Coturnix japonica: one gene and its partner. The protein of the gene in region 1 purifies or fractionates together with the protein of each later gene. This does not show direct contact. Links are inferred from orthologs where the notes say so. Each region holds a gene or a part of one and is shown in the gene's direction. Other genes may lie near its edges.

Region 1 (3,817 bases):
TTTACTTAAAACAAGCCTTACTTTATATATCATTAAATTTATCATGTTCATTGTTAATTTACACAGACACCTGAATATTGCAAAGGAAGGCTTCACACAAACCAGTTTGGGACTTCTTGCAAATCAAAGAAAAAGACAGTTGCTTATTGGACTACTGAAGTCTCTGAGGACAATAAAAACACTGGTATATACAGATTTTTTTTCCAGTTAATAGCAGAATATTTTTGTTCATTTCCTTGTAGTTATTAGTGTTTTATTTTTCTTTTCAGCAAAGAACAGATGTGCGTTTAAGTGAGATGCTGGAGGTAAGTCTCTACCAGACTACTGTATCTTGAAGCTATTCTAAATTGTCTTCTGTTAGTCCTCTTAACTATCCCTTCTTCCTTCATCTTATGAACAGGATATGATGGGCCTTTGTGGTGGAATAGTGTGATTCTTTTTATTTAGTGGCTTAATTTTTTAATAGCAAGTTATGTAAAAAGTTGTAGTACACAGGCTATGGCACTAAAGATACTTCTGATAAGGTGTTTGTGTTAGTATACACTACTTAAAATGTAGGAGAAAATGTGCAGGGTGAAAATAAGATCTTGTCTTTAGGTTTTAAAACTGTATGAAAGCTTGGCAAGCTTATTGATGGCTATATTTTAATAATATCATGTACGAATTTTGACTTGTAGATTGCTGAATATTTATAGCTGATGTCAGATCAAATGGAACATCATTGTGATAATCCTTGTGACTCGATTTAGAACCTTACTCATTTTTACTCCTAAGATTCTTAAATCCCATCTTCGGTAACGTACGTTGTTGCTCTTTACCAAACAAGATACATTGATTCACCTGAGGCTGCATCAACATTATCTTTAGCTCACCAAGCCCTGCACACTTATTAGCTTCTTATTTTTTGCTGTACTGTATTGCACAAAAGATCAGGTGTCGTTCTCTGCTCCTAGGAGCTATCATGATGTAGAAAAGTGGCTGTTGCATCTGCACAAATACCCTAATGACAGGTTACCATAATTTTGCCTATGATTTTCGAGTATTAACTGCTGAAGGCACACTTTCTGGCTAAGTGGAGTTCTAGATCAGTGTTCACTCTCTGATCACAAGTACTGTATTCCACATATTAGCCATTTTATTATTATTCTTTTTTTCCAAGAGAAAGATAAAGCTTGGAGGATATGCAAAGGCTACTAGTAGCCATTCAGGGAGGACCATCTAGGTAGGATTTCCAACTAAAAAAGACTGGACAGAGGAAGGTGAGAAACATCTGGGATATATTAGAAATATATACAGTGCAAGCAGGCTTTTTGACTTGAAAGCATGGAACTTGCAACTTTACAGCTCTGGTAGACTTAACGGAGAAAGTCCTGGGTTTACAATGGAGAATAATGCAAAGAGCTGTAATTGCAGCAATCATGTTAAGCTGATTTGCTGTTTAGAGATCATGTAATGGATAAAGTAGGTTTTTCTCAGCATTCCTTTTTTTTTTTTTTCCCCTCCCCCCCCCCCCCCCCTTTTTTTTTTTTTTTAAATAGCAAATCTGTATTATATTTTTATAGTAAATCTGATTTGTATTATAATGCTGCTGCTAAAGCGGTTTCATTTCCGAAATTCCATAGAGGAACTACTATGGTAGTAGCTGAATATAAATTGCTCTTGTGCTTTTGATGTTCAATCACTGAATCTGAAAATTCAGTAACAGCTTTTCATTTGAGCTCTCTGAAGCATGTATTATAATGGATATAACTGGGGAAAAAAGAAGCACAGGAAAGCTGTTAGTAATGAGGATTTTCCTTCCTCTGAGATTCTGGCCAAGACCCTTAATAAAATACAAAAGTAGTAATTATAGCCAAGACACTGTTGGCAGAACCTTGGGGTTGTACAGTCTTGAGCATATAGTTTTGTTTTGTATCATCATATGGTTCCTGGTTTGAATAAGTGTTCTTTTTATAAATTAGAGCAACTTTTTTTTCTTCCCCCAAAGTTTTGGGTTTTTTTCGTCTTGGGGTCTTCTGTTGCGAACTAGTTGTCTACAATTCATTTTCATTAGTTATTGAATGTATCAATGTAAATAGAAAATATTTGTTTTGCATAATACTGGTGTGTCTCTCATGTGTCTCTGTTGGTTTTGCAGCCTGCTTGAATTTACCTCTTCCCCGCTCATAAATGGATTGTGTTGTATTAACAAATGTTTGAAAATTAAATGAGAAAGCTGTTTTTTTAATAAGAGCTTTCTGATACATTTTCTTTGAATCTGTAGGTAAACAAGCATTTGCATAAGAACACAATATGTGCAGTATTTTTAAATGTTGCTCACACCCAATGTTGCCTGCTTAAAATTCTGAATGGTTTGCACATTAATTTTTACAGCAGACCCTCAATAGTTTGCTGTAACTTCACACTATACAAATGTAAGTGGTGAAATATTTTGGTCATTACGTTTATTCATTAGCTTCTAAGGAAGAATGAGTGTTGTGGTGTTTGCTTCCAAAGCCAAATTAGCTTTCTGTTTTATTTTATCCCAAGGAAGAGGACTATCCAGGAGCTATTCAACTATGTTTGGAATGCCAGAAAGCTGCCAGCACTTTCAAACACTACAGTTGTATAAGGTGAGGTGACGTGCTGATCTCACGTTCTGGATATTTGTCAATGATACAAAGCAGTGATGATTATTTCTCAGTCTCTAAAGCAGTTTTGATTTAAACTAGATTTTCTTCTTAGAAATGTAATGTTAAGGGATTTATAAAAGTATGAAGACCCTCAGTGGTGCTGTTCCCCTATACCACTACTAACAAATCACTACTAACGCGATATAACCTCTGCCTGGTCTGTGTCATTGTTTTCTAAGTCTCATAGTATGTTGTCAGGTAAAGTTTTGGCTAAGGCTGAGTTTTGACTGCTACAGATGGATACATTTTAATAAGGAAGTTTTTAACCTGGAATTAATTAACCTTCAGTAAGATGATTTTGGACGGGCAACTTACCTGAATTTTTGGTGATGAAAATAGCTAATATACAGCTTTATGCCACTGAGGTTAAATTGCTTTCAGAATTGAAAATAAGCAGTATGTCTACAGTTTCTAGTTTAGAAATACTTCTTTTTTTGTTTTTGATGAAACAGAAGAAATAATTGGCTGTTTTATAAACGTGTGGTTTGTTACAACTTCAGAGTAATTACCCATAATAATTGATTTAGTTGAGGTCTTTGGCGTTAAGAATACACCACTGTTAGTATGATCAGTAGTTTGATTTCAGACATTTTTTTTTCTTTCATTGATAGCGAGTTGAATTCAAAACTGCAAGATACTTTGGAACAAATAGAGGTAAGAATGAATATGTTGATTTAGTAAATATCAGTAGGTAACCTATACATACTAGTGTATTTAGCATTAAATATTTCTAATGCATTCTCTTTAGCAATTACTGAATGTGCATATTTTTTCAAATATGGTCCTTGGAATGTTATACTCTTTGCTATTCCTGCAGCCTTTTGTGTTGAAATGAACATAAATGGTTTATAATACGGTATCGAATTTATGAGCCCAGCTTGCTGACTGTGTCAACATTAAGTGGTAAAGCAATCCAATAAAAGACATGCAGTAATTTAAGTACTAGAGCAAAGATATGCTCCATGTGTGATAAAGATGCACAGTGGTTAACTGCTATGAATGTGGTCCTAAAAAGTTGTGAAAATTAACCAGAAGCAGCATGCCAATAATAGGTTTGGATAAACTACATGAGAAATGAGTTCCACTGGAAGTTTTAGAGATCAGCAAACTGGAAGCTGCTGGGTAAGGCCAATACTAAGCCAATA
Region 2 (4,382 bases), on another chromosome or scaffold:
TTGAGGACCACTTGCTCCAGGTCTCCCATTTCCCACAGAGAAAGTAGGGTTGGGCTGAGCACAGGAACCTTCTCCACCATTTGACAAAGAGGACATCTGTTCTGGAACTGAAGAGCTTGCGTTGGGATTACTGACAGAAATAAAATTGGACGTAGTAAATGAATCAAAAAAATCTGAAGCTAAAGTATTAGTGTTAACAGTATCACCAAAGAACTTGCTTAGACTAGGACTGGGCTGAACCACCTGTGGATTAGACTTCACTGGAGTCTCAATGATACTACTGAAACTGGGAGATTTCACCATCTGAGGCTCGAAGCCATCAGGCAGGAACAGCTGTGGCTGAGCATTAGCATTGTTTGCTTGGCTGAAAATAGTACACACAGGGATAGGCTCAACCTCAGCAGATGGTTTGCTAGTTCTGGGCGATGATGTCTGGTCATCGAGTTTACTTTCCTCAATACCATTTGGCTTTGTTTCAACGGGAATGTTGTTTCCCAACTTTGGTTCATCTTTCTCTGTTTCCTGAATTGATTCCTCCTTTAAAGATGCCTGATCATCAGTTCCAATCTCAGAGATGTCTTTGGGTGTCTCTTCATGTTCAGTTTCACTCTCATTACTTAAAAGCTCTTCTTTGCCCACTTCTGCTTGAGTATTTTGGTTATCCTTAGCTTCCATTTGCTCTACAATCTCCTGCAGGCAACCGAGTTCACCGGTGTCATCTTCACTGTTGTTTGGAGAGTCTGAAATAATGACACTCTCCATCATTTGTTCATTAAGCTTATCTATAAAGTTATTAGAATCTTCTGATACAGTTTCATTCCCTTCAGACTCATCACCACCAAGATCAATGGTTTCCTCATGAAAAAGGATTTCTTCCCGAGTTTTCTGCTGAGTTGCATTTCCTCCGTCCTCTTCATCCAAGGTGCTCTGAGCATCCTTAGCACTGCCTGTACTATTCTCCATGGCACTGAAGGGAGAAAGGATACGCAGAAATTAGTTTGGCCACTCCAAATAACCACATACCAAACAAAAACTGTAACTTTTACACTAAAAACACAGACATGTCACCGTTTGACATTTTTCCTCCAATATCTGCCCAAGGAATGAAATCACAAAACGTCTCTCTTCAGCCCACAGCGTTCCGAGCAAACCCCAAGCGCTGGGATTCGCTGGCAGATACATCCACCTAAGCACACGCAGCAAGACAGCGGCTTTTGTGCCTGCAAGGACTGATCCGGCCTAGGCAGGAAGGGAAGCACGGCTGACACTGACACTAACACTGACACTGGCGCTGCTTCGGCCCCTCCCGCACAGACCGAGGCCGTCCAGGTTCGGGGCCTCCGCAGGGTCCCCCCGGAGCTTCAAGGTGGGCGCAGCACCCCGGGCACCTACTCTCCTCATCCTCCTCTGCGCCCTCCTGCAGGCCCGTGCCCCACTGCCGTCTCATCGGATCCCGTCCACCCCTACTCACCTCACCGCTCGGCCCGCCGCCCCCGCTGCTCTTCCCCACTGCGCCTGCTCCGCCGGCCGAGGAGGGCGGTATTGCGGCTGCGCCGGGTCCGCTCCGTAAAGCGGCCGACGGGCAGCGCCGAGGGTCAGAAAGGAGCAGAGGGGAGAGGCAGGCGGTGTGTGTCGGCATGGAGGACGACGCGCCGGTCATCTACGGGCTGGAGTTCCAGGTGGGTGCGGATGGAAGAGGGTCGGTTCAGCTTTCAGCAGCCGTAGGAGCCGTTGTGCCGCTCCTTGAGGCCCTCGGTGAGCTGAGAGGCCCCGCTGGGGCTGCTCCTTTGCCGTGTCCCTTTGCTGCGATGCTCGGCTGTGTCTCCGGCGTGCCCTGGGCTTCTGCTTCCTTGTCAGCTTCTTGTGTGCTTCTCTAGCAGCCTTCTCTTTTTTTGTGCTGTGTGGATGAGATGCCAGTAGTCTCCAGTAGGTTCTTCAAGCTGTTTCTTCCTTTTCAGGTTCTCCCCCCGCCCCATTCCTATTCTGAGGGTAGAACATGGAACTTAACAAGAAGTTGTGAACTGTACTTGGTTATATCCCTATATACCCTTGGAAAGGGTCCAGAGGAGGGCCACAAAGATGATCAGGGGGCTGGAGCACCTCCCCTATGAGGACAGGCTGAGGGAGTCGGGTTTGTTCAGCCTGGAGAAGAGAAGGTTGCGGGGTGACCTCATTGCAGCCTTTCAATACCTGAAGGGAACTTACTCCCAGGAGGGGAGTAAACTCTTCGAAAGGGCTGACAATGGCAGGATATGGGGAAATGGTTTTAAGTTAAAAGAGGGTAGATTTAGGTTGGATGTTAGGGGGAAGTTCTTCACTAGGAGAGTGGTTAGGCCCTGGAACAGGCTGCCCAGGGAGGTTGTGGATGCCCCGTCCTTGGAAATGTTCAAGTCCAGGTTGGACAGGGCCCTGGGCAACCTGATCTAGTAAATGTGTATGTTTGGTGGCCCTGCCAGGCAGGGGGGTTGGAACTACATGATCCTTGAGGTCCCTTCCAACCCGGGTCATTCTGTGATTCTGTGTGTGATTCTGTGAAAAGTGGTGCAGTTTCTTTCTCTGGAGATATTCAGGACCTGCCTGGATGTCTGCCTGTATGACCCACTGTAGGGAACCTGCTTCAGCAGGGGATTGGGCTAGGTGGGCTTCGGAAGACCCTTACAACTACTATGGTTCTGTGATTTTGGATATAAGGACTGAGCTTCCTCCTGGACTGTCCTACTCTACCTTATGAACCTGTTTAGGAAACGCTTCTTTACAGAAAGGGTAGTTAAACACTGGAATAGGCTCCTCAGGGAGGTGGTTGAGTCACTGTCCCTGGATATGTTTGAGAGTCATTTGGATGTGGTGCTCAGAGAGATGATTTAGCAGAGGGCTGTTAGGCTACTATGGTTAGGCTGTGGTTAGACTTAATGATCTTTGAGGTCTTTTCCAATCTGGGCAATTCTATGATTCTATTGATCATAATGGAGGAATACAATCTCATAGTCAGTGCACTTCTTATAAGTTGTAGGGGAACACCCAGTAAGGCAGCCAGGTAGATGAGAGTGATGCTGTCCCATTGTTCCTTCCCACAATAAGGTTTTACTCAGCTGTTTTTAGCAACAACTTCCCTACTCCTATTGCTGTTGTAATAGGAGAGGCTGTATTTCTTCTGCGGCTCACAGAGCAATATTTTCATTCTACAGCAGATTCAGTAATACAAAGTAATGAAATAAATGCATACCTATGTGCATTTTTTCATTACTAAAATGTTTATGGAAAGTGTTCTGGTGATGTGTGAGGGTTCTGTTTATGAAGTTTGGTGCTCTGTTTACTGAATTGCTTGCTCTGTGATGCTGACTACGCAAATAGATTTGTCTTAGAAAAAATATCTGATTGGTTTTCCTCTCATATCAGAGCTGATGTGTAGCACTGACCTGCACCACAAGTTAAATCTACTCAAGTCTGATAATTTGCCATTGTTTTTTGTGTAGCTTGTACTTAAACATTAATGAAACTATTATTTCTTGTAGAATGTAATATGTCCTCTGTTTTTGTAAAATTCATAGCTTTTTTCTTGGAGGTCTTAATGACAGATTTCTCAGAAATATAGGAAATCTAGCCTGTGTGCCTGGTCATGGGCCTGCACTATTCAGCCTTTCACATCACACATCTCTTGGGGACCTCTTCCCTTCTGCAATGTGTGCAACAGCTCTGGTGGGTTGGGGAAGCAAAAGTACTGAGATGGTGGTAATCAAAGAGAATTACACTTAATTCAGAGCACTTAGAGAGAGGATGGGGGTAAGAAAGCTGGTTTATGACTGCTTCTTCCCAGTGTATGTGTCAGAAGCACTGTGTCTACAGAAGAACTTTTCAGCCTGTTTAATGAATTTTTCTTTTGTTGCTTAAGTTGCTTTTTATTCTTTTATTTTCAGTTCCTGGTAGTCTTTCCTTCATGTCTATGACAAGCTTACTCAAAGCTGAGATTAGAAATGATAAAGCGTTTATAGAGAGGGAGGGATCTTTTTACTTCTATTATTTATATGTCACAAACCCAGGGCACCTAGAAGCTACATTAGAGTTTGCAGACTTGCCCATCCTGTGTTTGTCTCCAGGAGTCAATAACAATCTGATTTTGGATACTGCCTGGAAAAATGTGGCTGTTGTAAGTATGTGTTTGATCTGCTTCAGTGTGGCATGGTATTTAAGTTTAAGAATCTGAAGCTAATTCCTTCTATCACTGCAATACAAGTTTTTCTGCATAATTTCTGGCCAGTTTTAAGTAAGGCAGTTTAGAATAATGTGCAAATACTATTTATTTTTAATTTGGTTTTCATGAAAATACAGCCTAATGGAAGAAGAGTATCTTAGTTCACGTTTCATGAAAACATAAATGGAAGATA

The links.
Region 2: the proteins of VPS50 (region 1) and EIPR1 purify together in Homo sapiens (affinity purification with mass spectrometry; 4 studies listed by BioGRID and IntAct, counting the BioPlex papers as one, with this or other methods). This does not show direct contact. The link is inferred for Coturnix japonica from reciprocal best matches to the Homo sapiens genes VPS50 and EIPR1.

Annotation. Positions count from the first base shown.
Region 1 is NC_029517.1:20,937,838-20,941,654, forward strand, and holds part of VPS50 (syndetin), read left to right. Parts: intron 1-66; coding exon 67-184; intron 185-269; coding exon 270-305; intron 306-2,529; coding exon 2,530-2,612; intron 2,613-3,283; coding exon 3,284-3,326; intron 3,327-3,817.
Region 2 is NC_029518.1:85,457,135-85,461,516, reverse strand, and holds the start of EIPR1 (EARP and GARP complex-interacting protein 1), read left to right. Parts: upstream 1-1,571; 5' UTR 1,572-1,637; coding exon 1,638-1,679; intron 1,680-4,382. Other genes in the region: TRAPPC12 (trafficking protein particle complex subunit 12), read right to left, coding at 1-963. UniProt on the Homo sapiens protein: Acts as a component of endosomal retrieval machinery that is involved in protein transport from early endosomes to either recycling endosomes or the trans-Golgi network.